Linked DNA regions of Macaca mulatta. The protein of the gene in region 1 purifies or fractionates together with the protein of each later gene. This does not show direct contact. Links are inferred from orthologs where the notes say so. Each region holds a gene or a part of one and is shown on either strand. Other genes may lie near its edges.

What was found. Proteins that work in one complex are often made in the same cells at the same time.
Region 2: the proteins of KPNA2 (region 1) and CHD8 purify together in Homo sapiens (affinity purification with mass spectrometry; 4 studies listed by BioGRID and IntAct, with this or other methods). This does not show direct contact. The link is inferred for Macaca mulatta from reciprocal best matches to the Homo sapiens genes KPNA2 and CHD8.
Region 3: the proteins of KPNA2 (region 1) and KIFC1 purify together in Homo sapiens (co-immunoprecipitation; 4 studies listed by BioGRID and IntAct, with this or other methods). This does not show direct contact. The link is inferred for Macaca mulatta from reciprocal best matches to the Homo sapiens genes KPNA2 and KIFC1.
Region 4: the proteins of KPNA2 (region 1) and POLR3F purify together in Homo sapiens (co-immunoprecipitation; 3 studies listed by BioGRID and IntAct, with this or other methods). This does not show direct contact. The link is inferred for Macaca mulatta from reciprocal best matches to the Homo sapiens genes KPNA2 and POLR3F.

Annotation. Positions count from the first base shown.
Region 1 is NC_133421.1:77,794,129-77,797,649, reverse strand, and holds part of KPNA2 (importin subunit alpha-1), read right to left. Parts: intron 3,085-3,521; coding exon 2,816-3,084; intron 2,564-2,815; coding exon 2,469-2,563; intron 2,369-2,468; coding exon 2,105-2,368; intron 1,619-2,104; coding exon 1,385-1,618; intron 1,137-1,384; coding exon 954-1,136; intron 1-953.
Region 2 is NC_133412.1:94,251,777-94,255,297, forward strand, and holds part of CHD8 (chromodomain-helicase-DNA-binding protein 8), read right to left. Parts: coding exon 3,445-3,521; exon of another isoform or gene 3,392-3,444; intron 3,048-3,391; coding exon 2,931-3,047; intron 1-2,930. UniProt on the Homo sapiens protein: ATP-dependent chromatin-remodeling factor, it slides nucleosomes along DNA; nucleosome sliding requires ATP. Acts as a transcription repressor by remodeling chromatin structure and recruiting histone H1 to target genes.
Region 3 is NC_133409.1:148,872,568-148,876,088, forward strand, and holds part of KIFC1 (kinesin-like protein KIFC1), read right to left. Parts: intron 2,965-3,521; coding exon 2,674-2,964; intron 2,569-2,673; coding exon 2,495-2,568; exon of another isoform or gene 2,464-2,494; intron 2,359-2,463; coding exon 2,283-2,358; intron 1-2,282. UniProt on the Homo sapiens protein: Minus end-directed microtubule-dependent motor required for bipolar spindle formation. May contribute to movement of early endocytic vesicles. Regulates cilium formation and structure.
Region 4 is NC_133415.1:65,525,037-65,528,557, forward strand, and holds part of POLR3F (DNA-directed RNA polymerase III subunit RPC6), read right to left. Parts: intron 1,951-3,521; coding exon 1,838-1,950; intron 1-1,837. UniProt on the Homo sapiens protein: DNA-dependent RNA polymerase catalyzes the transcription of DNA into RNA using the four ribonucleoside triphosphates as substrates.

The DNA of each region.
Region 1 (3,521 bases):
TTTCTCCTGCCTCAGCCTCCTAAGTAGCTGGAATTACAGGCGCCTGCCACCACACCCGGCTAATTTTTTGTATTTTTAGTAGAGACGGGGTTTCACTATGTTGGCCAGGCTGGTCTCAAACTCCTGACCTCGTGCTCTGCCCACCTCAGCCTCCCAAAATGCTGGGATTACAGGTGTGAGCCACTGTGCCCAGCCTGTAGACTCAACTTCTATATGTAAAAATCTCTAGAATCTAAAGTTGATGAGTAGGACTTACCTACCACCAATCACTATGACAAAGTGCCATATGCTGGTATGCTTGGATCAATTAGGGATACAACCAGAAGAAAAATATAAGTTATTCAAATTTTTTTTTTCTGAGATAGTTTCACTCTTCCGGCCAGGCTGGAGTGAAGTGACATGATCTTGGCTCACTGCAACCTCCACCCCTGGCCCAGGGTTCAAGCGATTCTCCTGCCTCAGCCTCCCAAGTAGCTGGGATTATAGGTGCCTGCCACCACACATGGCTAATTTTTGTATTTTTAGCAGAGACGGGGTTTCACCATGTTGGCCAGGCTGGTCTCGGACTCTTGACCTCAGGTGATCCACCTACCTTGGACTCTCAAAGTGCTGTGATACAGGCATGAGACACCATGACTGGCCAAGTCATTCAAATTTAATTTCACCAAAATTCAGTATGAAATTGGGACATTAAATCAAGTAAGTAAACAGATGTGATGAGTTCACATAAACGCCCGACTTCGATTCAGGTCCCATCATCCACTTGTCATCTCTTTCATCTTTGATAATGCCTGCCACATTTTTAATCAAAGGTGTGGCCCACCTAAACAGGCTGTCTGAATCTGTGGCTTACTAGTGACTAAACTTACAACAGTTGCCCTCCCCCAGGTCTAAATAGTAAACTGATTATTATCAAGTTCAAATTCAAACAAAGCCACCTTGATAGGTCTTACCTGAAAGATATTTGAAATGGCATCCAAGATAACCAGAATAATCTTGGTATCTTTTGCAGTTAAGAGGTTCATCAACGGTTCTATTATGCCACAGTGAACAAGGTACACAATCTGCTCAACTGTTCCACCACTAGTGTAGTTGGTCACGGCCCATACAGCTTCCTTTTGTGTCTTAAAATCTGCCTATTAAACATAAGGAAATGGTTTTATTTCAGAAAGTTGCAAGAATAAGTTTCCAGGAGTACTTTTTCACAAAAACAATGACTCAAAGTACCAAGGTTCTATCCAACTGTAAGTGAAAGGGGTTACTGGGTATTTTTCAGCAAAGGACTCCAAGTAGAACCCAAGATTCTTGCACGTGAAGAAGCTTATCAAGCAGAGCTTTCTATAAATACTAAAAATGACTTGATTAAATCCTAAGACTTCATTACCTTAGAGAGAACACTGACAAGGAATGGGACTAATCCATGATTCACAACTTGCTGTATCTGGTCCTGACGGCCAGCTGTGATGTTTGACATTGTCCATGTAGCTTCCTTCTGAATGTTAGTTTTGGGGTTGGTGAGCAGGCTGGGAAAGACAGCGAGCGCTCCTGCATCAATTACAACCTGAGTCTGTTCATCTGTACCAGTGACAATATTCCCTATGGCTCTTAGGGCAGGAGTCTGAAAAAAAAAAAAAATGTTGATGCTGGTTTTTTCCCAGCACTTCAGAAATTCTGTACCCTAAAAGTTTTAACAAGAGGCCCATCATGGGTATGAAATAGGTAATATTTCAATATTAGTATCAACTGATAATGCTTTTTTTTTTTGAGAGACAGGAGTCTTGCTCTTGTCACCCAGACTGGAGTGCAATGGCACGATCTCGACTCACTGCAGCCTCTGCCTCCCGGATTCAAGCAATTCTCCTGCCTTAGCCTCCCAAGTAGTTGGGATTACAGACGCGTGCCACCACATCCAGATAATTTCTTTGTATTTTTAGTAGAGATGGGCTTTCATCATGTTGGCCAGGCTGGTCTCTAACTCCTGACCTCAGGGGATCCACCCGCCTTGGTCTCCCAAAGTGCTGGGATTATACAGGCGTGAGCCACCATACCCAGCCCTGATCATGCTTTTTATACTTATGTCCTAATCTACAAGTAAATAACTTACCACAATTGGCAATTCAGAAGCTCCTAGAAGCTTCACAAGTTGGGGCACAACTCCTGTTTTCACGACCATGTCAATTCGTTCATTCGGACCGTCAGTAAGGTAGGAAATAGCCCAGCAGGTATCTGCTAATACTTCTGGATCATCATGATGCAGGAGCCGAACTAAGGTAGGAAGAATCTGCTCAACAGCATCTATTGGGGGTGCAGGATTCTTGTTGCGGCAAAGATTTGAAAGTGTCCAGGTAAGATTACGTAAGTAGCCACACTAGGGGGAAAAAAATAGGCAATGAGAGGTTCTGTCTTTTGAGAAGATGGGGGAAATTAGAATGAAGAAGTGAGTAACTTTATTCATGTTAGTAACTTACTGCTAAAGATGACATATCAGGAACCGCAAGGAGAGCCAACAGTGGGTCAACTGCACCATACTTAATAACCAAGTCTCGGAACACTGAGCCGTCACCTGAAAAAAAAAGCAAGATTAATTTTATTATCTTGTCCAACACCACCAATGTTCAGTGACTGATGCACCAGCAAAAACTCCCAAACGTACTTAGATGCCCCTCTGCTGCCTTTGTAAAGACGACACTTTCATTCCTAATAACGGCTTGAAAGCAAGCTCAAAACTTGACGAAGTCGTTACTATTTATAAGGCCTTTCTTTGAACTCATTACGCTTAGATACATTCAGTCAAAAGAACTTCAAGTCCAAGTACCTGCAATGTTTCCTAGAGCCCAGACGGCTTGTTCACTGATGTGAGCATGGGGAGATGCCAACAGAGAGATGAATGCTGGGATGGCACCTCCATCTACCACAGCCTTGGTCTGTTCTGATGTCCCAGAAGCAATGTTAGTGAGTGCCCAAGCAGACTCAAACTGAATGGGACTACAATCAGTTCTGCCCAAGAAGGACACAAATTTTGGAATCAAACCAGCCCGGATTATGCTGTCTATGGGGGGCTGTTTTTCTCTAGAAAGTAGTTTCCTAAAGGGGAACAAAAAGAGAAATAAAAGTTGAAAGTGGTTAACAAAAGGAGTTTGTGTAAAAACCAATTTAAAATGCAATTCAACAGTTTAGAACTTCAGACAACCTTTTAAGTAAATCACTAAATGCTGAGACATTCTGGAATCTAAGAGAAGCTGAACAGATTACCTATATGGTGCTATATATGCGGTATCATTAACTACCATTTTTCCAAAAATTAATGTAGATTACCCTCCTCTCCATCCCTGCAGAAATCTACAAATCTTGTCACTTTTTAAAAAAACTTTTGACGTTCTGACAGGGTTAGATTCCCATTGTTAACTGAATTTGTTCTCCCTGATAGTTGTGGTTAAGCACATTTTTCTTTTTGAGACGGAGTCTCGCTCTGTTGCCCAGGCTGGAGTGCAGTGGCCGGATCTCAGCTCACTGCAAGCTCC
Region 2 (3,521 bases), on another chromosome or scaffold:
CTGGGTATGGTGCCACATGCCTGTAATCCCAGCTACTGGGGAAGCTGAAGCAGGAAAGTCGCTTGAACCCAGGAGGCAGAGATCGCGGTGAGCCGAGATCGTGCCATTGTACTCCAGCCTGGGCAACAAGAGTGAAACTCTGTCTCAAAAACAAACAAACAAACAAACAAACAAACAAAAAAAAATTAGCTGGGTGTGGTGGTGCATGGCTGCAATCCCAGTTACTCAGAAGGCTGAGGCAGGAGAATCGCTTAAACCCAGGAGGTGGAGGTTGCAGTGAGCTGAGATCATGCCACTGCACTCCAGCCTGGGTAACAGAACGAGACTCTGTCTCAAAAAATAAATAAATAAATAAATAAATTCTGTACTAGTCATATTAGGATTTTCTGTGATTTTCTATGATATTTCTTAAGAGTTTCAATTGACTATAAGGGAGTAGCAGAAGTACTTGAGGTAAAAATAGGTAACAGTGAAGGAAAAGCCCTTCTTACAGGCTGCTCTCTAATGTTAAATTGAAGACAGAGATGGCATTATCCTTCTAGCCACCAGCCTTTCCCATGTCAACCATTCTGTTTATTGCACTCTTGTTCTCATCGAGGCTAACAGGGAAAACTGAAACATTCTTCCATGGTAACACTTCCATCAATATAAAAATAAGCCTCATAAATCTACATATATTTTGCATTTCAAACTTGTTAAATGCAAAATACTGATAGTTTACTTTAAAATTAATTTTGTTAAAAGATATTCCATGTGGTTATACAGACACATAAATATATGTGTATGCACATAGCCTTCCATATCCATGGATTCAACCATCTGTGGATTGAAAATATTTGAAAACAACAAAAAACTAAAAAAGAAAAAGAGAAAATAATACAAATTTTAAAACAATACAGTGTAACAACTATTTACATAGCATTTATATTGTGTTAGGTATTATAAGTAATCAAGAGATTAAAGTATATCAGAGGAAGTGTGTAGGTTACATGGAAATACTACATGATTTTATTTTTATTTATTTATTTATTTATTTATTTATTTATTATTTTTAAGACAGGGTCTCACACTCTATTGCCCAGGCTGGAGTGCAGTGGCATCATCATGGCTCACTGCAGCCTCAGCCTCTGGGCTCAAGTGATCCTCCTGCCTCAGCTTCCCCATAGCTGAGACTACAGGATTGCACCACCAGGCCCAGCTAATTTTTTTTATTTTTTGTAGAGATAAGGTCCCAGTGGGGTCCCCAGGCTGGTCTTGAACTCCTGGGTACAAGTGATCCTCTTGCCTCAGCGTCCCAAAGTGCTGGGATTACAGGTAAGAGCCGCCACACCTGCCCCTACACCATTTTATATATAAAGGACTTCAGCATCCACGGATTCTGGTATCTGGGGGGGTCCTGGAACCAATCCCTCACAGATACCGAGGGATGACTATATGTGTATAAAGATTTCTGTAGAAGATCAAATGGGGGAATGATTAGATAAGGCAAGTGCTAATCCATTTTAAATGACTCTACCAAACAATGATTTATGTATGCTTTAAAAATACAACTACTGACCAGGCGCTATGGCTCACGTCTGTAATCCCAACACTTTGGAAGGCTGAGGCGGATCACGAGGTCAGTAGTTCGAGACCAGCCTGACCAACATAGTGAAACCCCGTCTCTACTAAAAATACAAAAATTAGCTGGGCGTGGTGGCACACACCTGTAATCCCAGCTACTTGGGAGGCTGAGGCAGGAGAATCACTTGAACCTGGGAGGTGGAGGTTACAGTGAGCTGAGATCAGTCCATTGCACTCCGCCTGGGCAACAGAGCGAGACTCCGTCTCAAAGAAAAAAAAAATTACTATTGACCGGGCACAGTAATCCCAGTACTTTGGGAGGCTGAGGCAGGTGGATCACCTGAGGTTGGGAGTTTGAGAAGAGTCTGGCCAACATGGCAAACCTTCTTCCTATTAAAAATACAAAAATTAGCTGGGCATGGTAGCATGCACCAGTGGTCCCAGCTACTCGGGAGACTGAGGCAAGAGAATCACTTGAACCGGGGATGCAGAAGTTGCCATGAGCTGAGATTGTGCCACTGCACTCCAGCCTGGGTGACAGGGCAAGACTCTGTCTCAAAAAAATAAAAAATTAAAAAAAAATACAACTATTGCAGAAAGTAAGGTAAGCATAGCCAAGAGAAACTTTTGTAGTTGTAATCTGGTGGAAAGAAGAAACTATGGGTACTTAATCCACCAAATGGCCTATTATCCATCATAAAAGTATAAGTAAATTTGAAAATACAGAATAACTTAATGGCCAAATTTATTATTACAAATTATAAAACATAGTTTCCTCTGCTTTTTCCATTACTGGCATATTATTAGTGATTCTCAACCTTTTATATATTGGGAAATCTCATGACTATTTTCCTTAGTAGACCTGTCCAAACACTTCTAAAATATATAGAATTAGAAAACTTAAGGCCGGGTGCAGTGGCTCAAGCCTGTAATCCCAACATTTTGGGAGGCCGAGGTGGGTGGATCACGAGGTCAGGAGTTCAAGACCAGCCTGGCCAAGATGGTGAAACCCCATCTCTACTAAAAATACAAAAATTAGCCAGGCGCAGTAGCAGGTGCCTGTAATCCCAGCTACTCAGGAGGCTGACGCAGGAGAATGCTTGAACCCAAGATTGCACCCGAGATTGCACTACTGCACTCCAGCCTGGGCGACAGCAGAGTGAGACTCTGTCTCAAAACCAAAACCAAAACCAAAACCAAAAACAAAAAACAAAAAAACTGGTTTCCTTATTGGTGAACGCAAGATAATTTTTCACAGAAACATACATAGGAAAAAAGATAAATAACATTAGTCACAATCATCATTGAAAGCCTTTAATGTCACATCTAGTGTGGGAACAGAGTGGTAATGCTGCAGTTTCTCTCACCTTTTTCCCATTTCTAGAGTTAGCTGTCTGTACTGGTTCCATTCCCAAACAGTTCAATTCTGCCTTATTATTTTTTTTACATCTTTGCCACTTCTGTTTTCTGCGATCTTCCATATACTGCAATAGAAAAAAGTCAGTTATCCTACAGGAATAGAAATTTTCTGTGGAGTAATTATTAAAGTACTAGTGTCTTTTGTTTGATAATAAATGCTTATTATATAGATAAAGGATTAATCCTAGTGGAAAACTGTCATTAAGTGGGATCTCTCCAAAAAATATTAGGTGGTTTATATAATAGTTCAATAGTAAATATTTGCCTAGCACTTAAGGTACTTCAACATTATTTTATTTTGGGCATCACAACTGTGAGGTTGGAAGACTGGGTATTACTAATTATTACCCTTATCTTGCAGATACAGAAATGATGATATAGTATGTCATACTTTCTCTTTCTCATGCAGCTTAAATACCGAAGGAATGACTTTAAATCTTGCTGGATGGGACTGCCACTCACCGCTAGAAATCGGGGATCAACAGCAAACTCTGGATGACCCTGTAACCACATCTCCAGTTCAGCCCGGCGAGGGGCAT
Region 3 (3,521 bases), on another chromosome or scaffold:
CGACTGTGGCTGGGCTGGGTGGCTCACGCCTGTAATCCCAACACTTTTGGTGGCTACAGTGAGCTATGATTGAGCCATTGAATTCCAGTCTAGGCAACAGAGCGTCTCTGTCTCAAAAAAATAAAAATAAAAATAAAGATAACCCTCAGATAAACATTCATTGGTCACCTTTGGAAGCTGCTAGGGTATCAACTCAATACTGAAAATCAATAAATAATTCAGCATTTATCTTGTTTTTCCTGTATGAACTGAATTTCAGAGAAACCAAGTAGATGGCAAGGCAAATGTCTTCATAAAAAAATTATGACTAACCAATGCAGAACAACTAAGATTAGAAAAATCGCCATTTAAAAACCCCTTAATGAAATAATGGATCCAGGTATGGTCACTGATGGGTAAAATCACTAGGTGAAAAAGTCAGTAAGGAGCTTTTAAATGGATAGATCACGCTAACACCACCCAAATATGATAAATAAGTGAAAGTACGGGGGAAAGAGGAAGCAATCAGCCAAAATCCAGAATAGTATATTCGATAGGACAAATGACCTTCAACAAACAAATGACATAATAGTGGCAGTGTGGGGTAGGGTTGTGGAACTTGAGACATTTCAATCAAGTGGGTGGCCCTTGCCTGGATCCTGATTTGAACAAACCTATTAGGTATAAAAGACACTTCTGAGACAGTTGGGTGAAATTTAACATAAACTGGGTATTAGAGGATATTAAAGTTCATGTTGTTGGATGTTACATTGGTATAACATTAATAAAAATTAGAAAAAACATCACCACCCTCTAAAATTGAACTTAGAATACCAGATCAGGGTGCAGGTGCTGGCTACAGCAACAATCAGTGCTGATTGGGAGGAGGCCCAAGCGCACAGCAGGACAGACCTGATCAGACCTCAAATAAAGCCAGAGCCCATTAAAGGGCTATACGCTCAGGAGGAGGGTAAACCAGAGAAAAAAATTACCGTAGAGGCAGACAGTAAGGAAATTTTCTGACTTGCTTAACACTAGTGGGAGGAGATTCTAGTGGAAGAAATTCTCATACGTGAGAATTCATATGGCCACTGGCTGATCCTCATGGAGTTTGGAGTCTGAATTCACACTATTTGGAACAGTCTGAAAAACCTGTAAGCCTTTGATCCAGTAATCCCATTTCAAGGACTATTTCCCTGGTTAGATGTAACTGAAAAAATACAAAATGATGTATGTACAAAGTTAGTCAACGTGGCCTTGTTTGTAACTAAAAAAGGGTGGAAACAATCCAAGTGTCCAGTAGAGGGAACTGGTGGATAAATTTTGGTGCAACTACATAGTGGAGTCCTAGGCAGACCTAAAAATAATGGAATGATCTCTGTATGCTGATGGGGAGGAATCTTAGGGATATTTTGTGTGTTGTTTTGTTTTTTGAGACAAGGTCTTGCTCTGTCACCCAGGCTGAAGTGCAGTGGTAGGATCATGGCTCACTGAAGCCTCTACCTCCCAGGCTCAGGTGATCCTCCCACCTCAGCCTCCTGAGTAGCTGAACTATAGGTGTGAGCCACGACACCCAGCTAATTTTCCTGTTTTTTGTAGAGACAGGTCTCACTATGTTGCCCAGGCTGATTTTAAACTCGTGGGCTCAAGCAATCCTCCTGTCTTGGCTTCCCAAAGTGTTCGGATTACAGACGTGAGCTACTGCACCCAACCAGTTTAGACCTTTTAGTCAGTCACCTTTTCTTTTTTTTTTTTTCCAATCAGCTTTCTCAGGTTAAATTAATCACCTGTTTTTTAAAAAACTTAACTCAAAAGCTAATAATTGGCCGGGCGCGGTGGCTCAAGCCTGTAATCCCAGCACTTTGGGAGGCCGAGACGGGCGGATCACGAGGTCAGGAGATCGAGACCATCCTGGCTAACACAATGAAACCCCGTCTCCACTAAAAATACAAAAAAATTAGCTGGGCGTGGTGGCGGTGCCTGTAGTCCCAGCTACTCGGGAGGCTGAGGCAGGAGAATGGCGGGAACCCGGGAAGCGGAGCTTGCAGTGAGCCGAGATCGCGCCACTGCACTCCAGCCTGGGCGACAGAGCGAGACTCCGCCTCAAAAAAAAAAATAAATAAATAAAAAGCTAATAATTAAAAATGGAACCATGGTGAGTACTGCCTCAGATGCCTGCAAATGTAAAACCTTTCTGGACAAATGTGCTCCCTGCCCTAGAAGACAGAAGGGATAGGAATGGAGAAACCTACAAGCACCCATGGGTCCTGACAAGGCCTGGGATTGATTGGTGGTAATCGCACCTTGGAGGCAAAGCGTAAAGAGTTGAGGGACTCGGAGACGTTCTCTTCCAGTGGAGAAATGTTCACAAACATGAGCCTATGAAAACAGAATATGCCCAGTCCCAGCATTAGGGGCCAGCAGAGCCTGGACAGGTCTCCACTGTTCCCCTCTTTCTACCCCTCACCCCAACACAGTTCCTACCTGAACCCTTCCATCTGTCCCTTTCACTCACATCTTAGCACTACCACCCAGAGAGTTCTGCAGCAGGTAGGTCAGTTTGCTGTTCCGGTAAGGCACATGGGACTCCTACATGATTGAGGTGGGGACAGATGTTTAGGAATGGGCAGAGTTCTGCACAGCCAACCCCAACTGGCCCCCAGGTCCCATATCTCCCCCCACTCCTATTCCCACCTTGTTACTCAGGGCCATGATAACTAGCCCCAGCGTGGACAGGCTGCTGTTAATGGCCTGTGTTTCCCGAAGGCGTTCCCGCTCCCCGGGGCCGAGGGCTAAGCCAGGGTCAAGTCGCTCACTCCCGGCCAGGTCCACAAGACTGAGGGAGGCCCCACACTGCAGGCCTCGGCTGGAGTGCTCCCCAGAAATCTGTAGCTGGAATACACTGTGGCTGCGTGATGACCGTTCATTCTGGGCTGTGCGGGCCACAGCCCGATTCTGGCGGGCCAGATGAAGCAGGGCCTCCACCTGGGGATGGGAGCAGAAGGGGCAAAAGGGCAGGCAGAAGTCAGTACATAGTAATATGTATGGAAATAAGTAAGATCCCACCCCCACTCTCTCGAAGCTTTCTAGCCTGTCAACAAACAAAATTAGATGTACAGTATGTCTGAAAATGGTAAGGAATACATAGAATAGGGAGTGTATAAAGGCGGGGTGGGGAACCAAGTTTTGACAGGATAGCCAAAGATGGCCTCATTGCCGTAAGATCTCCAGGAAAGGAGCATCCAGGCAAAGGCCCTGAGATGGGGAGCATGACTAGTTGGTTGAGGAATAGCCAGGAGACCAGCATGGCTAGGATGAGCTGAGCAAGGAGATGAGACCTGAGATGCAGTGACCCTCCCCATTTCGGCAGCTGCATCACTCCCTCGCCACTCCTGGGTTAAGGCAGATCTACCTACAGCCCACAGGCCAAAACGGGATGTGGTAACCCAGCCTCACAACTTGTACTTCATCCTTCAATTCTCTCCTGCTCCTTTCTCTCTCTACCTCCATCTTGTGGCACCCTGCCCACTCCTCCCCATTCC
Region 4 (3,521 bases), on another chromosome or scaffold:
CAATTCTCCTGCCTCAGCCTCCCAAGTAGCTGGGATTACAGACACGTGCCACCACGCCTGGATGATTTTGTATTTTTAGTAGAGACAGGGTTTCACCATGTTGGTCAGGCTGGTCTTGAACTCCTGACCTCAGCTGATCCACCTGCCTTGGGCTCCCAAAGTGTTGTTTTCTTATTGTTGAATGTTGGGAGTTCTTTGTATATTTGGGAGACAAGTGCTTTATCAAATATGTGATTTGCAAATATCTTTTAGTATGTAACTTGTCCTTTCATTCTCTTAGCAATGTCTTGCAAAGCCGAGGTTTTCAAAAAAATTTTGATAAACTCCAACTTATCAACATTTTCTTTCATAGACTACTATTGGAGTTGTAGTCCAACAATTCATTAATAAAGCCAAGGTCATGTAGATTTTCTGTGTTTTCTTCTAAAAGTTTTATAGTTTTGCACTTTACACTTAGATCTAAGATTATTTTAACCCTTAAAAGGACACAGAAGTTAAGCAACGGATGAACGAACAAACGGTGATATACATCTGTACAATGGAATTTTAATTGGCAATAAGAAGGAATGAAGTACAATATGGATAAACCTTGAAAACATCACGCTAAGTCAAAGTAGTCATACATAAAAGACTACATATTCTATTATTCCATTCATAGGAACTGTCCAGAATAGGCAAATCTATAATAAAGACAGAAAATAAACTATTCGTTGTTAGAGACTGTGGAAAGAGAGGCTGGGAAATAAATACTAGTGGTCACATTTGGGGGTGACGAAAATGTTCTAAAATTAGGACAGCGGTGATAGTTGCACAACTCTAAGATTATAGTAAAAACCAGTGACTGTAAATCCAAAGATTTTACACTTTAAAAGGATGAATGAATTCTGTGGTATGAATGATGAATTATATTTCAGCAAAGCTGTTATTAAACATAAAGATGTAGAAGGAAGACTGGCAAAATGAGGCTAGGTGATGGATACACAGGGATTTATTATATGATTTTTTCTACCTTTATATATATTTGAAATTATCCATTAAACAATGTGGAAGGGAAATGTTATTCTAAATGAGAAGTGGTACAGCATAAATATTTGATAAATAAAATCACTAATAAGCATCAAATTCTTATAACTGATGTTACAGTTCTTATAATTCTTGTTTTATTCAAAAATAAAAACTTGAAGCAACATATGTAAGTGGATATTTGAGGAAAGGTCTACTCACTGCCACAGACTTAACAGCTTGGAAATTATAAAATTTGAATTATAGCTTTAATTCTTATGAAATGTGTATTGAAGCAAACTTTATTCTAGGGGAATCTCAGCTCCTCTGATGTCTAAATCAGTGAGATTAGGGGCAGATGTCCCTGAGGGAGCAAGCTCTGGAGCGAGAGTGGGACAGGATGAGGAGCAGGAAAAACACACGTGTACTAGAAGAGAAGCTCCACCAAGGCAGGAATCTTTCTACGACTTGTTCATTAATGTATCCCAAGCACTCAGAACAGTGTCTGGCACACAGAAAATACTCTTTGTTGAATGAGAAAGTTAGTATGTTGGGATAAAGTAAATTATCCTATATACCATAAAATCTAGGAAAAATGTTCACAGTTCCAAAGATTCTTCACTGAAGACAGTAAAGTAGTTTTAGATCTTTGGGTGGGTGAGACACCAAGAACCAACTGTGTAGGGACAAGTCTAAGCAGTATCTCCAAACCAATCCAACATGAGCTAAATTTTTAAGTCTTTTTGGACCAGCTGTTCTAAATCATGACATAACTTCAAGAATTCAAACTTGAAGCAACATATGTAAGTGGATATTTGAGGAAAGGACTACTCACTGCCACAGACTTAACAGCTTTGATAAGCTTTTTACTTTCCAAATTCTTCAGGATTTTGTTGATTTCTGTTAATGGCAAATTACTTTTATAGCGGATATCTCTGCTCCATATTCCTATGAGAAAGTAAAGTAAAATAAGTTGAGCTATGTTTTCATGGATTTTTAATTTTATTCCTCTAACTCGTATCTCATTCCAAAGCTAGCAGTATAAAGCTAACGGTAAAAATGAAATGACTTAGAGGTAAGAACCTTGGCTAAAGTAGCAAAAGTATGCCAAACAATAAATAAGTCTAATGCTTTATAAGATTTATTATTATTATAATGATTTATAATTTCTAACCAGAAATTTCTTGGAATCCCAGTGTGGCACACTTTTAAAAATTTTATGGAAAGGGCCGGGCACAGTGGCTCATGCCTGTAATCCCAGCAATTAGGGAGGCGGAGGCAGGTGGATCACTTGAGCTCAGGAGTTTGAGACCAGCCTGGCCAACATGGTGAAACTCTGTCCCTATTAAAAATGCAAAAATAATTAGTGGGGCCTGGTGGCGTGCACCTGTACTCCTAGCTACTTGGGAGGCTGAGGCACGAGAATTGTTTGAACCCGGGAGGCGGAGGTTGCAGTGAGCCAAGGTCACGCCATTGCACTCCAGTCTGGGCAACAGAGCGAGACTCCGTCTCAAAAAACAAACAAACAAAAATTATGAAAAGGACATTTTTATAATGGAAGGAAGAATCATGGATGCAACAGAATTAACTTATATCATCCGTACCCTTAATTCTGTTTTCTGATATTTTCATTTTAGATTGTAAATGTGAAATACAAACTTAAATTTGGGTCAAGGTCAACTGCCATCCTCAAGTGGGACAAAAACACTCTTTAGATGAGTGTCTGCATGCACGTAATCCATTATTTATACAACATTGTATTTGTGAGATGGAAAAAGGAAGCCTAGGGTTCTTATAGCTGCTAAAAGCCCTGTGTGAGAAGCAATGATTTCTTTTTCAAAGAAGGAAATAAGTGTTATATATGGAAAGGGAATGTATGTAAACATTTTGCTTTATTTTCTTCCCAATGTAGTGGCATAATGAGACAGGAAGATTAAAAAAATATGCAGAATGGCCTTCTCATAGGACTATTTTAAAAAATGTTAATTTTAATAAATATAAGAATTAGTTATATAATTTCAGATTACATCTCAATTTTTCAAGCTACTATCAATGACTCAAATAGATCCTAAATTATTGTAATTGAGGATTGCAATCTAGATACAGTTCTTCAAGGGGGGTAGAAGAGGAACTATAGTGCAGAGGGACATCCATTAAGACACTGCTACACGACACCGGCTTTCCTTTTGGTCCTTGCAAAAACGAGAGGTGTCAGCATCCACAATTTATAGGTAAGATGAAGAAACTGAAGCTTACAAAGTTTAAGTAACTTGTCCATGGTCATATAGCTAGAAGGTACAGATTTTTTTAAAAAAAACTTAAATGTGATTTATTTTGAATAGATAATACATTCATGTGACTCAGAATTCAGAAGTCTTTTTCCATCCCTGGCCATAGCCCTCTAGTTCTTGTCTCTTTCAAGGCAACAATGGCCTTACTCTTGGGTGTCCTTCAGGCACATGCATGTTATATTTGTATGTTCTATTCCCTTCCTCAGCATACTCTGTTCACCGAGCTCT